Linked DNA regions of Schizosaccharomyces pombe. The protein of the gene in region 1 purifies or fractionates together with the protein of each later gene. This does not show direct contact. Each region holds a gene or a part of one and is shown in the gene's direction. Other genes may lie near its edges.

Region 1 (7,191 bases):
TTTAAACAACAGTGCAAATTATCAGTCAAAGAAGCGAGTGGGTAGAGGCCCTGCGAGCGGTTTAGGAAAAACCTCTGGACGTGGTCATAAAGGATCTGGTCAAAGGCGTGGACGGAGAATTAAACCTGGTTTTGAAGGTGGTCAAACTCCTATCACCAAATTATTTCCTAAAGTTGGTCACAGTACGGGACATTTGAAGAAACCGTTGCGTCTGGGGTTAGGGAGAGTTCAGGAATGGATTGATCGTGGTAGATTGGATGCTAGCAAGACAATTACTATGAAAGACCTCCTCGATAGTAGATGCTGTAGAGGTATTAAACATGGAGTTGAACTTACTGCTGACGAACCTGGACTCCTTAAAACAGCAATTTCCATAGAAGTTTCTAAGGCTACAGTTCAAGCTATACAACAAATCAAAAATGCAGGCGGCAGTATAACAACAGTATATTTCAGCCCGTTGGCGCTACGTGCCCATTTGCATCCTTCAAGTTTTCGTACACCTCCTCGCCCTCCCCTTCCAGTTTCAAAGAAAGACATACGCTACTACACAAATCCACATTTTGCAGGGTATCTTGCCAACGTTAAAAATATTCGAGAGCTATATTATGGCGACCAACGATTCCCCTACGAACCGATTGTTAAAGATAAATAAGTAGTTCCCATATTACATCAGAACTTGATATATGTTCATCAAAAATCCCGCTTTCCTAATATGTCCTTAAAACTTTGTTATGTCTATTGATGATTCCGTGCAGCCTCCTTTACTTTCTTGGATGGGTTACATGTTGAGTTTTGTAAGGAAATATCTGCATCCTTTTCTTAGTACATTTGTATAATTACGTTTCCAATTTCGGTGTTTGAGCTCTCTACTGACTTTTTCGCTTACAGTTCAATACCCATTAGTAATATTTTGAATACCTTTCTCATTCGAAAATATAGCTTCCTTCTTTATCCCCCAAATCCCCTTGTTGTAGTCAGTTCATTCTCTGTCAGATAAACCCTTTCTCACATTTATTCATTTGCTTCATTAGTAGATTTGAGCATTCGCAGTCATGCACTTTTTTTGTATAATCAAGAACCCCTGCCGACTGTTTGTTAAATTATTATCTTTTGCCTTTTTTTGTTTAAAGCTTTCTTAAAATTTTTTCATCCTCCGATTGTCTATCCAACAGGAAAAGATCTTTCAAAGGATCTCCTTTTCAAAGGCATGCAAGGAAGAAGAAAAAGAACATTTGTTGATCAATGGAACGGTTAAAGACTTATATATAAGAATGACTAAGAAAACCGGCATTTGTAATAGAAGTGTAAGCGAACCATAGTAGTACATTAACCTTATGATCAATTAATCTACATAAACGGTCAATTCTAAAAAAAATAATACATATTGACTGGGAAACTCCTTATTTCATATATTAGAAAGGGACATTTATCAACTCTCCAATTAGTGCACTAAAACGCAGTATGGAAGGAACGATGCTAAGAACTGCTTCAACACTTTGTCAATAAACCAACAATGTCGGCTCCGTCGCCGTTTATTAAGAAACTTGCAGCTAATGGTAAATTTCTTACATATAAATGATTAATGTACTAACACTGTAAGATCGAAAAACTCGTGATAAGGCTCTTGAATCGTTGCAGCGGTTTTTAAGCCAAAAGAAAAAATTTGAAAGGTTAGACTTTCTCAAGCTTTGGAAGGGCTTATTTTACTGTATGAATTTTTTTGGGTTATGAATGTAAATCATCTAATTGTTTTTTAATATGCAGGCATGTGGATGGCTGATAAACCCTTATACCAACAGAAACTCTCAGATAATTTAGCCGCGTTGGTTCCAATTGTCTGGATAGACAATAGAATATTATTTCAATCTACTTTTTGGGAAACTATGGGTCGTGAATGGACGGGAATTGATATTTTACGAACAGACAAATTTTACTTGTTAATGCGTAGATTTTGTGCTGCTGCGTTTCGGGATATTCAAACAAGAAGTAAAACTGCTTTGCTGGACAAAGTAGTGGCTGAATATAATCAGATGTGGATGGATGGTCCTTTTAAGTAAGTTGTTTTCGTTCCCGCGTGTGGGAATTTGTTTATTATATAGATTGCTTTTGCGTTGGAGACTTTTAGAAAAGTTTTGCAACGCTTTTACTTCCTGCTTACATCAAACTTGTTGAATAGCTATTTCTTAATTTTTATCATTTTTCTGTTTATTTGGACAGACTACTAACTGCTTTTAGTACCGAAAATCTTGCTTTTCCAAATGGGATTTTATTCCATTTAGCTGATATATGGACTGAGGAATTAAGAAAAGTCTACCCAGAAGATGTACCAAAAGCGGACTGGTATCTTCCTTTTGATTCTACAATCAAGTCAAGTCATAATGTTGTCTTAAGAAAGACGCTTCCCAAACGTCTTGATCGGGTTTCTGAATATACAAAGGATTCACAATAATTAATTGATTCGGCACGTTTATTAGGTTTTGGTGAACTAAAAAAATATATTGGTGGTAATATACAACTTGTGGTTTGTAATAGACATTAATTATTCATATGATTGAACTTTTCATTTCCGTACCCCTACAACAAAAGTTTCGTAGTAATGCTGTTTCTTTTCTTTCTTAAGAATATCCAGATCGTCTTCATGTAGAGTAGATATGTGCTTATATTTTTATAACTCTTAAGAGGTGAAAAGATATAAGTAATCGATATTTACATCAAGTTGTAAAAAAGTGTAAAAACATGGGCTGTTGTGGGAATCGAACCCACGACCACCATCACCCTAAGATGGTATCATACCACTAGACCAAACGGCCACTATTGATTTATGTTGTCAAAAAGGTTTATACAAGACAAATGAGAATCGTTATATTTGATTGTTGCTTGACTTGTGTTTTAAACATTCCTAATGAACATTCGTAATCAATTACCCGACGTGCTTAGCAATAAATATTGGCATATACATTGCTCCCATTCGAATGCATAGTTGTATAGTACATGTACAATCAGGCCGCACAAATACATTCAACAACTGTAAGGTTGAGTAAAGATAATTACTCAAATTTAAAGACTTTTTGTGAGTAAAACAGTCAGATTGCAGTAAGACCTCGATATCATAATTAACCTCTAGAAATACACCATGTAGGAGTTTAAGATATTAAAACATACTATGTAAAAACGTTTTAACTGTCAGCAATACTACACTACGCTATGATACTCCACGTTGCATATCACTATATGTCACATGTTCACAATGTTCTATTTGCTCTATCAACTATTACATGATAAGTCATCAAGATGGAGATATAATATCATTCATGATAAGATAACTATCAGATATAATTCTTACTACTTCAAATATTATAAATTGAGAACAACTGAACCTCGTCCCTCAGTTCAGTTATAAGCTATATTAGTGATAGGTAACATTATAACCTAGTTAATACAATACCTATACTCAGTTGCTACTCATACAACCTGTGTATTGTAATATAATAGATCACAAGGAAAACTCACCGCAGTTCTATGTATCCTTAAATCAGATACCAAACTGCGTAGCTTACATTAACGCATTAATCTGATATATTATATTATTTTAACGTTGGACAAGAAAGTGAATGTTGCACGTTATATTATTTCAACTGAAACTTCTTCCTAAAGCATTTAATTTTCATACTAAATGCGACCGGAGTCACTAATAATTCGGTAGTTATAAGATCCTTGAACAGTGTTTGCTTTAATGTCTTGGCGTTCCTATTTGACAAATCTCAAACTCCCGACTTGATCAAACTAACAAAACTGTACCTCGTACTGCGTTCACTGTCATTTTTATGTTTCATGTATTCATTTTTGTAAATTATAAAAGATGGTATACTTTCTATCTATCTTGGTTTAGCGAATTTTTTTATAAGAAAAAAAACCTCAGTGTTATAGATGTTTATTTTTTAGTGATATATAACGAAAAATAAAATACTGGCTGAATTTAACGATTTGGTTTATATCATTGACACGTTAATATAAATAGCGAAAGAAAAGACGTTTCGCTAAATTATGCTACACTCAGCAAAGCTGCTGTCTACTTAGATGCAGATACTACCACTTTCAACCTTTACCAACCACCATGTCTCAATTTCCGGCTTTAGAAGACTTTGACGACGGTTTGGTTACCGCTCCTGTTGATGACTCTAAAAATAATACTGATTTCTTGGAACGCGAAAAGTTGGCACTTGGAGAGGATGCTGGACAATTCGAAACACCGGAGGATAAAGACGCGTTGTTGAATTTTGAAAATGATTCGGAAGCTGAACAAACTAGATTTGAACAGAACTTTCCTCCCATAGATGCTGAAATGCAAGCCTCTGGTACCTTTTCCGCTCCGAAAGCTCCTTACATGGGTCAAGCCGAAGTTCATCCCCCTGAAGACGAAAGCGGTGACCCCGAACCCGTTCGCAAGTGGAAAGAGGATCAAATGAAAAGGATCCAAGAAAGAGATGAGTCTTCCAAAAAGTTGCGCGAATCTAATATCGAGAAGGCCCGCAAGGCTATTGATGATTTTTATGAGAATTTTAATGATAAGAGAGATAAAGTCATTGCCAAGTCGAGAAAAGAACAAGAAAAACTGTTGGAAGAAAATGAAAGCAAATCTACTGGAACTACGAGCTGGGAGCGTATCCTGAAGCTTATTGATTTATCCGATAAGCCTGAGGCTCATGGCCGCTCTACAGAACGCTTTCGTGAACTTCTCATCAGCCTTGCAAAAGATAGCAATGCTCCTGGTGCTGCCGGCACAACTGTATCCTCTTCTTCTTAGAGATAAAGCTCTCCAATCCTTTTTGCTTTCAATGCTTGCACACTACCCTTCCTTTTGACACAATTAGCAGTGTTTAAAATAATATCTGACTAAGAATTTTTTTTATAATTTATACTTTTTTAAGTATTCAGTTCTCATATAAAATTCTTTGTCTACCTACTACAGATTTGTAACTATACTTTTTCTTGGATCTGTGCTTTGATATTTAGGGTATGTCTGTTTATTCGTCCTTCCCTTATATTGCGTTTCATAACGGTATGCCGTCTCTTGGTGTACTGCTTACCGCTTTTTATGCTTGTTGATTTTGTCGACTTTCCACCCTTTAATATGATTTCTAAAATTATTTAAAAATACTTGAACCTTTTACCGTTGTAGCAAATACTGAACGTCCGTACTGTAGTTATTTCATTTAATGTGATTTGTATCTAGCTTCACTTCCATTTGCCGCATAAACTACTGGACGATTTTTCATTGTCGAGATTTACAAGCGTAACGAATTTTGTGCAATTAATATATATTCTCTCTCTTTTAATATTTGCTCCTTTCAAACTTAAGTTTGCTATTGGGGTTTTAGATTTTACAGTTTCTTCTCAGTTGATATTGCTTAAAGGAACAATTTCCGCAGCCCTTTCTTTAAATGCCAAACTAATTACGGAACTGAATATTATTAATTTGCTAATCTTATATGCCAGCGAAGAAAAAAAAGAATAGAGTACCGATGTATTTAAAGATATGATTGAAAATTGCGTCTTGAGAGTACGCATGAATAAATTAATAAAACGAACAAGAGATACTTCACGTTTACGATCAAGGTTCAACTTTTCCAAGCTGCCATCTCATTAACTTGTAAAAGTTGGTACCAGGACGAGACAATCGTTCAAAAGACCCTTGCTCCAAAACTTTCCCGTCTCCAACAACAATTATTTGATCAGCTCGGCGAATAGTAGCCAATTTGTGAGCAATCGTAATGGTAGTCATACTACGATTATGCATCAAAGATTGAATCGTTTTATCCACCATTACTTCTGCTTCACCGTCTAATGCTGAAGTAGCTTCATCCAAAATTAAAAATGCTGGATTTCGAAGAAGTGCCCTAGCAATTGCAATGCGTTGTTTTTGTCCCCCGCTTAGTTGTAAACCACGAGTCCCGACTTGCGTAGACCATTTCTCCGGGAAAGAAAGCACAAAACTACAATTCGCTCGTTTGGCAGCATCTTCGATTTCCTCTTGAGATGCGTTAGATTTACCGTAAGCAATATTTTCGCCAATTGTACCAGAAAATAAAACCGGTTCTTGTCCAACTAAACCAAAATGACTGCGCCATTGATGAACATTATATGTAGAGATGTCAACTCCGTCAGCTAATATTTTCCCACTACTAGGTGCGTAAAAGCGCAAAAGGAGCTGTGAGATGGTGGATTTTCCACCGCCACTAGGTGCGACTATAGCAACATTGGTGCCTGGATGAATGTCGAAAGATAAGTTATCAAATATTGAAGCTGAAGGACGAGTTGGGTATGCAAACCCAACATTTCTGAACGAAAGTATTGCCTTTCCGACTGTGACTGGAACGGGAATCCCAACGGTTGGAGCTATCTTCGGTTTAGCATCTAAAAGTTCAAATAACCGACTAGCAGCTCCCAGACCTTTCATAATATCAGTAAAACATCCTGATAAGCCAACAATGCTTCCACCGGCATAAACGGTATACAGCAAAAATGAACTTAGCTGTCCTACAGTTATATCACCTGCAGCAACCATTCTTCCGCCTAACGCAAGAATAGCGATTACAGTTGCGTTCCCAAGGAACCCTGTTGACCCGAAGAAAATACCGCTAGCAAAAGCCTCTCGCTTTGCCAGGACAAAGAGATTTCGAATGTAATCGTTGTAACGATTTACTTCTTGTCTTTCTCCTAGAAAAGCCTGTGTAGTCCGAACATTTGCGAGTTTCTCTTCTGAAACCCTTGTTAAATCACCGAGAGCATCTTGTGTAGTCCTGGAAAGTTTCCGAACATACTCTCCATAAAAGAAAGCTCCCAATGCAATTGGGGGTACAATTAGGGACATATATCCAGTGAGTCTCATGGATACGTAGAGCATCATCCCTATTCCAGCAATTGCACTAACTGAGCTACGAAGACCATCACTTAAGTACATTGATAAAGACTTACCGACAATACTCGAATCCGTCGTAAGACGGGATATGAGATCCCCATGTTTATGAAAGTCAAAAAATGCTCCATCTAATGACATGCATTTAGCAAACAAGCGTGCTCGAAGACGACTGACAATTCTTTCACTCAGTAGACGCAAGGTGATGATTCTACCAAAGTTACAAGCTGAACCAAGGAAAAATAAACCCAACAAACCAATATAAAACGTACCAG
Region 2 (8,827 bases), 400 kb from region 1:
TAAAAAAAAGTCATTTTACTTCTTCTGCTTTAGAAAGCCAAACAAAAAAAATTCATAAAATGCGGGTCCATAAGTATTAAAAGAAATGTATAACGATCGTCAGTATTATGCGTGAAATCACATGTAATGTACATCCTTTTTTAATTTTTAATAATCAGAGAAATGAAATGTTTTGTTTTTTTGTCATGGTGGAACTAGCGACGACTTTGTTGATAGCGACCTCTTGAAGGAAGGGAACGAGGTCGTCGTTGAAAGGAGGAAGATGAAGATGATGGATATTTTAATTGAGATCCCCTAAAACCTTTTGGTGAACCTCTACCTCTTGACTTGTATATAAGTTCTTCCATTAAGCCAGGAACGTCATGTAAAGAAAATAAAGCAATAGCAGATTCATGAATGTTCTTACCGGTGGCTCGTCTTTGGGACGAACCAGAGAAGACATGAGGTTTAGACCCATACAGAGTTTTCAAAGCATTTGTACGGGAAAATTTCGATGACTTTTCAATATCCGACCTCAAAGTTGAGAGAGCTTGATCTGATAAGGGCTCGATAGTTGCCCGTTTTAAAGGTAAATGTTTGATACTATTTAAAAAAGGTTTCTCTTGTTCCAGAAGAATTAAATATGCCTCTCCTGTTTTACCAGCCCTACCCGTACGTCCAATTCGATGAATGTAATCATCGGTATTGCTAGGACCAGTTATTTGGACAACCTGGGTAATGTTAGGGAAATCCATTCCCCGTGCGACAACATCTGTAGCAAATAAAATACCACTTTGACATTTCCTAAAGCTTTCTGTAATAGATCTACGCTGCGCAGTAGTTAAACCGGAATGTAAAATAAAGCAAGGAATCTTCAAATGATTTTCTAAAACTCCGCCAACAAAGTCAACCATGCTTATGGTGGGAAGAAAAACGATAATACGACTTGAGGGATTTGAAGAAGTGAGTTGTTGTAAAAGTGAGAGAGAAGAAGAGAATACCTTATCGAGCTTGGTTTCTATAACAAATTGGGGCACACGCTCATGCGTAGGAGGCTCGTTTGGATCCAGACAGTTTATGAGCTTAAAATCAGTCCCAAGAATTCCACGAAAAACGTTAGAGACTTTTGGCGGCATTGTTGCACTAAAACACAACTTCCTGGTCTTAGTAGTTGTGACAGCTTCATGAATGTTCAAAATTGACTCAGCAAACCCCATATCCATTAAACGGTCAGCTTCATCCAAAATGAAAGAGTCAGTAGATAAAGATTCAAGAATCCTTGGATTCTGAAGGTGATCTTCCAAACGCCCAGGAGTTGCAATCAGAAGATTGGCATTACCACGACGAATTGCATTTTCCTCTCTCATCTTTGAGTTTCCGCCAATGGCATAAGAAACGCGGATTCCCGTCCCATAAGTCAATTTTCTAGCTTCTTCAAAAATTTGTAAGGCCAATTCTCTTGTCGGGCTAAGGATTACGGAGTGAATTTTGGAGGAATTCAAACGTGGCTTTCCCTTAAGCACATCTTTAAAGGCCACTAACAAGAAAGCCAAAGTCTTTCCTGTACCTGTTTTTGCCTGCACTACAGCATTCTCTTCGTTAGGAAAAACTTCATTCAATACCCGCTGCTGAACTGGAGTCATTTTCTCGAACCCTGCGCGAGACAAACTATTTTTGAAAGTACTAGAAAGAGAAGCAACCTCTGAAAACAGCGTTGGTTGCTGTGATTTCATTGTCGAGTTCCATCTTATAAATCCTTGAACTTTGGGTAAGTTAAATCTCCCAACAGTTGAAAAAATAGCTCCTTTCAGTGAGATATTCATTCTCGACTTTCTGAACTATACTGCTTGTATTACCAATTGACTCAAAATTACGAAGAAATAAATATACTTGTAACTCAATATAGTTCAAAAAAAAGTTCCAAAAATAATGGTTGTGGAAGTAGGGATACATGAGCCAAAGAAAAAAGTTAAGAGGAATTTTACAAAATTTTAATCTTCAGTAAATATGGTATTTCCTCAATATTATGAAAAAAAAGGAATGTTTAAAGCGTCATTTCATGTAGGAAATCCAACTTTCAATTTTTCTTCGATTCAAGATTGACAGCTGTTTTAACACGAACTCTTCAGCTAAAGAGTTGTTATATATAATTCTATGTAAAAAAATATTTTAGGAAAGTAGTTATGTATTGAGTTTAATTGTATCCTTCAATTTATGTCTATAAATCGATTCCTGTAATGTTTTCAAGCTTTAGTTATAGTAGTTCAAAATTTGAAAGAATTGATTGTTTTTTCCAAGTTCCAAATGCATCTTATTTTGTTACAATTCTTATAAAATAACTGGTTCATTTTATTTCAGCCATATTTTAAGTCCAATTTTATTGAAAAAAAAGTGGGAAGATACAACCTGAAAGAAAAGATTATTGAGACAACAAAGTCTATAAAAAAAATAACTGGTTTGCTTGCATAGTTGCCCCATGCAAACAAAATCGTTTTTATGAAACAAAGCGTGAAGACTAAAATTATTAGACACGTTATAATTTAATGATACTTCGTTTTGCTTCTTTAATGGGAGAAATTAGCCTCCAAAAGCAAAATAAGACTTGTCAAAACCAATTGATATTCCAATTGTTGAAAAAAAGTCAAAGGCCCTTCAGTATCCGGAATTATTACGGCTTCATGTATAATATGATTTAATCCATTTCACTCGGAATCGGCTTACCTGCTAACTATTTAATACAGATTTATCGTTTGAGAGACACCTTGAAGCTAGAAAATGTTTTGAGTTTTCTGTAAAAAGTAAGAACACAGCAAAATATGCTTAAATTCAATATTGGATGGCTGCTCTAAATGAAATGTTTTGTACTGATGCTCATAAATTAATTTTCTCATCCACGCAAACCCAAGTCGAATATTTTAGGCACATGTGTTTGTATGAAACAGATGAAAGCATTTTCTATTCAGTTCCATTACCCGGCTTTGCATTCATCACGTTTTTTCTAAAAATTAATCTTTTGTTTACTTTGGTATATAAAGTAATACTAGGTAGTACGTTGTTTTGAAAATCATGGGCTACGTCCCCCTACGATAATTTCTATTAACGAAAATGAAGTTAATACGAAAAAGTATTGTTTGAACAGCGCGTCGCTTCTTACAACTTTGTTTGTTCTAAGCCAAAAGCTCAATTGGTGGGTATTTGGATATAGTGCCATTGTAATGAATCTTTTGGGTTGAGTTTATAAGAATATTGCATGTTACAATACCGATAAAAGTGTGATTGCTCACAAAGTATACAAATAGTAAAAAATGGTGGCTAGCAACAATATGAAAGGGCTTCGAGCGTTTATCTCGGATTTGAGAAGTTTAGAGCATGACGATGAAGAGAAACGTGTAAATGTTGAATTGGCTAAAATTCGTGCAAAGTTTCAAAGTTCTACTTTATCTGCGTATGACCGAAAAAAATATGTCAGCAAGCTTTTATATATATATATGCTGGGTTATCCCATCACTTTTGGCCATATGGAAGCTGCAAAACTCCTTTCAGGGACGAAGTATAGTGAAAAACTCATTGGTTATTTGGCAGTTGCTTTGTTGCTAAACGAGAACCATGAGTTGATGAAGTTGGTTATAAATAGTATTAAAAAAGATCTTTTGAGTCATGACTCTTTACAAAATTCGTTGGCCTTGCATACAATAGCCAACATTGGTGGCCGAGAATTATGTGAAACCGTGTACTACGACATCTATAAACTTCTAATGTCGGCAAGCAACGAAAATATTGTTCGTCAGAAATCTGCCTTAGCTCTCCTACATATTTATCGAAAGTTTCCGGATCTAATCAACCCAGAATGGTTTGAGCCGATAGTTATGATACTAGGTGATGATGACCTTAACGTTTCGTTGGCGGTCTCTAATTTTGTTAATTTAATCGTAATTCGGGAGCCAAAATATCAAAAATTTGCTTATGGAAAAGCGGTTGGTAAACTGAAGAACATAGTTTTTGAACACGGTTATTCAAGTGACTATTTGTATTATTCTGTACCTTGCCCTTGGCTACAGGTTAATCTTTGTCGTATTCTACTTGCTTGCGAAAGGCCTTCGGACAATCCCACAAGGGCAACTCTAATACGTGTACTAGATCGAATCCTTAGTTTGCCAAATGATAACTCAAACGTACAACAAGTAAATGCGGTGAATGCTATCCTTTTCGAAGCCATCAAACTGGCTTTTCTAGTCGACGAATCTCATTCTTTGTACGAAAAATGTATGGACAGACTTGCTGACATGATCGCTGATAAAGAAAGCAATATTCGGTATTTGGCTTTTGAGACGACTGCCTATCTAATTTCATGCGGACATTCTATCACTTCTTTAAAGCATTATAAGGAATTAATATTATCCTCTTTGAGGTACAAGGATGTTTCCCTTAGAAAAAAAAGTTTAGAACTCTTGTATATGATGTGTGACGAGGAAAATGCTAAACTCATCGTTGCCGATTTATTGCAGTATTTACCACATCTTGACTCAGTAACTCAGGAGGATCTTATTTCTAAGGTTGCCATAATTTCAGAGACCTTTGCTACCGACTATGAATGGTATGTCGATGTTACTATACAACTGCTTCGGATAGCTGGAAAATCCGCTGATGATGGCGTCTGGCATCAGCTAGTTCATGTCATTGTGAACAACGAAGAAATCCAGGAATATGCTACCAAACGGCTATTCAGCTTACTACAGTCTGAAACGATTCATGAATGCTTAGTCAAAGCTGGAGGTTATGTTCTTGGTGAATTTGGGCATTTAATTACCGATTACCCGGACAGCCAACCTGTTCATCAGTTTTCTACAATTTATCGTAAGCTGAATGTTTCTTCTCCCAGTACGAGGGTTCTGCTTTTAACCACTTTAATCAAACTGGCAAATTTGCAGCCTGAATTGAACGATAGAATTGCGAAGGTTTTTCAGGAATATTCTACTATTATAAATCCAGAAGTACAACAAAGAGCATGTGAATATCTTCAACTTTTAAAAATGCCAAGGGACTTTCTCCAATTGGTTTGTGATGAAGTTCCCCCATTTTTAGACGGAAATCGAGATGGAGTGCATCCAAAGTCACGTCCTAGCAGCAAGGTAAATTTGGTTGATACCTATCCTCAAACCATTCCCAATGTTTCCAAACCATCCACGCCCATTGATGTTCCAGAATATGACATATCAGCATGTCTTCCTGGGTTTTATCGTTTATGTTGGAAAGATAAGGGAATTTTGTACCAAGATTCTCAAATACAAATTGGTGTTCGTTCAGAATATCACAATTCAGAAGGCGCCATATATTTGTATTATGAAAATCGACAGTCAAATACGTTGAAGTCACTCTCTTCAACGTTAATTAGAACCTTTTCTACCTTCCATTTAGCAACAACTTTTCAAGATACAAATTTGCCATCAGGAGTTCAACTTCAGCAAAAATATGTTATGAGTGGAGTTAATGAGATATTCGAACCTCCGATTATTCATGTGTCTTATGTTACTGGTGTTATACGTTCGATAGACCTCCAATTACCGGTTTTGTTATCAAAATTTATGAAACCGACAATATTTGACAGCTATGATTTCTTTAACCATTGGGGTCAAATGGGAGTGGAAAGGGAAGCACAGTTAACTTTCGGACTCAACAGCAAAGATAGAAAGCTTGACGCAAAACGACTGACAAAAATAGTTAGTGGATTTCACTGGGGAATATGCCAAAATGTTGATTCTATTGCCCTTAATATTGTAGGAGCAGGAATTATTCGATTTGGTACACAGAATGTTGGATGTTTACTTCGTATTGAACCAAATTACGAACAAAATTTGATTCGTCTATCAATTCGTTCTACTAACACTTCAATAGCAAATACGTTGGCAAAAGAAATGCAAGAGATTTTAAGGAATTCGTTTTAATAGTTGTCGCTGCTACTCTCAAAAATTTTTATTGATTGTCATAGCTTTAATGCCTATGCCTCTGTCCACATTTGATGAGTTGAGTATCTCTTAGTGAAGATTTACCTTGAATTTTATTTTATATACTAACTTATACCCCTTTTATTGGAAGTACGAGAGTACAATACAATTTTAATGTATTCGAAGTGCTGTTCAATGATGTTTGTTATTTTATCTTTGTTTCTTTATATCTATTTGCTTTAGTGAACTTCTTCTAAGTGAAAATACTTATACTGTTTTTAATGGATAAAAACTCTTCCTTATTTGGCACACGCTAGGACATTAAACATCTAAATACTCTGTCTCGAAATATGCGCAGTCGATACCAACAAATCTTAATGTCCTTAATAAAAGTAATATAGACCTGAATAATTGAGACACTTTTTTGCTATTTATATCGTATAATTCACTTCTTTTCGTAAAAGCGACGAAGTGTAACCATCAGCATATCTTTGTCAAATATAACCCACTCAGAATCACAAGTTTGGAAGTATAAGCCAACAATTTATTGAATATTAATTTTTGTTTAATAAAAACTACTCACTTTATATTGCAATAGTCTTATTGTTTAAAACTTCAAACTATATGATATTAGCAACATTAGCGAGCACCGTAAATAAAGTCGTGCCAACACATTGACTATTCCAAAACTGTTCAGAGAAGTAAACAAAGAACCAAATAGCAGCTGAAACTTCATTGAAGGGTCACCTAGGACTTTTTGATGATGTCCCAACAGTTAATTGATTTTATTGATTCAAGAACACGGCATCCTTATAAGTCAGATGAAGTAGAGAAATTTCAACAAGAAGTCAATGAGCTTCAGCTTCCGGATCCTAACTCACTTCCTATTTTAAGCGAAGAAGAAAAGAGGCAGGCTCGCGAAGATGCCGCATTTCGAAGGTCTAGTGAAGGGCTTGAAGACGCATGGTTAGATTCAGCAATACCTGCCGACCCGACGCCTATTTTCCGAGACACAGTTGAGTTATTATGCGTATATCAATCCTTTGTCAAAAAATCGGCTTCTCTCGATACTGTTGCAAATTTCTTAGACTTTTCTACCGATTTTTCGACATTGTCAACGAAGAAAGATGAGACAGAAATTGCACCTGATTGTTTACATTACATAGCCGAATTACTTTTTCAGAAAAAGGAAAGAGAAGTGAAAGAAAAATGGAAGAACGAGCTCACCGAAAAACTTAAGACATTATTTAATTGGCCTGCTATTAACCCTAACTTGAAGGAATCATCAAAATTTGAAAGTTTTTTTGGTTTTGTCCGATCCATTCAATCGTTTAAAGATTCTGAAACAGGTCTTCCATTATTTATGCAGGTGTACATTACCCCCTATGTAAACCAGTTTCGTTACCACTTTATGTCTCAGAAGCAAACAAATGTATTGTCAAAACCAGAATGGTTTTTTGAGTTCTTACTAAAAGTTTTTCGCTCTAATCGTAGTTTCTACATGCTTATGCGTGATATAAAATTTTTTCCCGGCGTCCCTCCATTTTTTACATTTATCAATTTGCTAAACAACGTTGCAAAGGAAAAATTAACGCATATAATAAAGTATGATGATTATTTAGTTCATTTAGTTCACGAAACCCTACAATACTCTGTGCGGTTGGAGCAACATTTTCATTATACCCAAGACCCTTTAATTATTTTTCTTTTTGAGCAAAACGGAACTTATGATAAATGGTTGGGTTTAGAGACTCAATTGAGCCTCACAAAGTTGGAAGATATAAAAATTGCATCAGATGCTTGGGAGCTGGAAAGCGATCAGTCTGATGATTTCAGCTCAGCGGTCCCCACGAAAATGACTGTACGATTTCGAGACATGATTGAGACGACGTTTTCCGTGCTTCAAAATTTACCATCTCTTGATTATCAATTTAATTTTTGGCGATCTGTTCAGTTAAAGCCTATGATGCAGTATGTTAATTGGTTGGAAGCCTTTTATGAATCTCATGAAAGTTCATCATCTATTCATTTACCTGGTAGTCTGCAGACAGACAAATCCAAGTTTGATATTGCTGAAGTTGAACGGATGTGTAAACTTTACAGTAACTTCAAGTTACTCATGGATTGGCTTGATGATATTGAAGATGAGGATGTCTACATTCGTATAGGACATAAAATGGGATCAGAAAACTATGCGGCTTTTTATCAAGTCAAACCTAGATTATCTACTTTAACAAATGGATCTTTTCGCATGATTTTACGTGCAGTTTCGCAAACGTTAAGGCCGTTACTTGACAACTATTCTGACCTTGATACATGGGTAATTAAGGAACAACTTCCTGGTGCTGCTCTATTATCAACATCGGTTTCTGCAGAAATTGTAGGATTTCAGTCCAGGCTAAAAGAAATCATTGCACTGCTCCAAAAGCTTTTGATTGGCTCTTCTCAATGCGAAGCTATATATCAGATTGGAACGTTAGTTGAAAGTTGGATGATAAAAATTGTTATGACCCACCAGTTCAGTGTGAGAGGAGGTGTACAATTTGCAATGGATGCAATGCAGATTGTACTAGAATTTTCAGACTATCCTTTGCTGAAATTCGAGCGATTAATGTCAACTGTTGAGCTACTATCTCTGGAATCGGGAGAAAATAAGCTTATTAAAAAACTAATTATCGAGATTAATCAAAAAAATTATGACTTCATAGATGAATTTTTTAAAACAAAGGAAATTACGCTTTCCTACGAGGACGCACTTGGCGTTTTATATCGGCGAGTTGATGCATGGAAGGATTAATTATTTAAATATTATCTGACTCGAATGTTTCTTTTTTTTTAGAGAATCTAGAAAACAAAGATAGTAACGACATTAATAGATCATAAAAATTAAGAATTCATTGATAAAG

The links.
Region 2: the proteins of clc1 (region 1) and apl3 purify together in Schizosaccharomyces pombe (co-purification; one study listed by BioGRID). This does not show direct contact.

Annotation. Positions count from the first base shown.
Region 1 is NC_003423.3:1,823,049-1,830,239, forward strand, and holds clc1 (clathrin light chain Clc1), read left to right. Parts: upstream 1-4,104; 5' UTR 4,105-4,114; coding exon 4,115-4,804; 3' UTR 4,805-5,150; downstream 5,151-7,191. Other genes in the region: mrpl10 (mitochondrial 54S ribosomal protein uL15m), read left to right, coding at 1-652; Nop52 family nucleolar protein, read left to right, coding at 1,514-1,556, 1,601-1,708, 1,765-2,053, 2,236-2,449; mdl1 (peptide-transporting ATPase), read right to left, coding at 5,612-7,191. UniProt on the Schizosaccharomyces pombe protein: Clathrin is the major protein of the polyhedral coat of coated pits and vesicles.
Region 2 is NC_003423.3:1,421,764-1,430,590, reverse strand, and holds apl3 (AP-2 adaptor complex subunit Alp3), read left to right. Parts: upstream 1-3,143; 5' UTR 3,144-3,284; coding exon 3,285-5,921; 3' UTR 5,922-6,363; downstream 6,364-8,827. Other genes in the region: ATP-dependent RNA helicase Mss116, read right to left, coding at 195-1,802; drp1 (RINT1 family protein), read left to right, coding at 6,682-8,718; palmitoyltransferase Pfa5, read right to left, coding at 8,808-8,827. UniProt on the Schizosaccharomyces pombe protein: Adaptins are components of the adaptor complexes which link clathrin to receptors in coated vesicles. Clathrin-associated protein complexes are believed to interact with the cytoplasmic tails of membrane proteins, leading to their selection and concentration.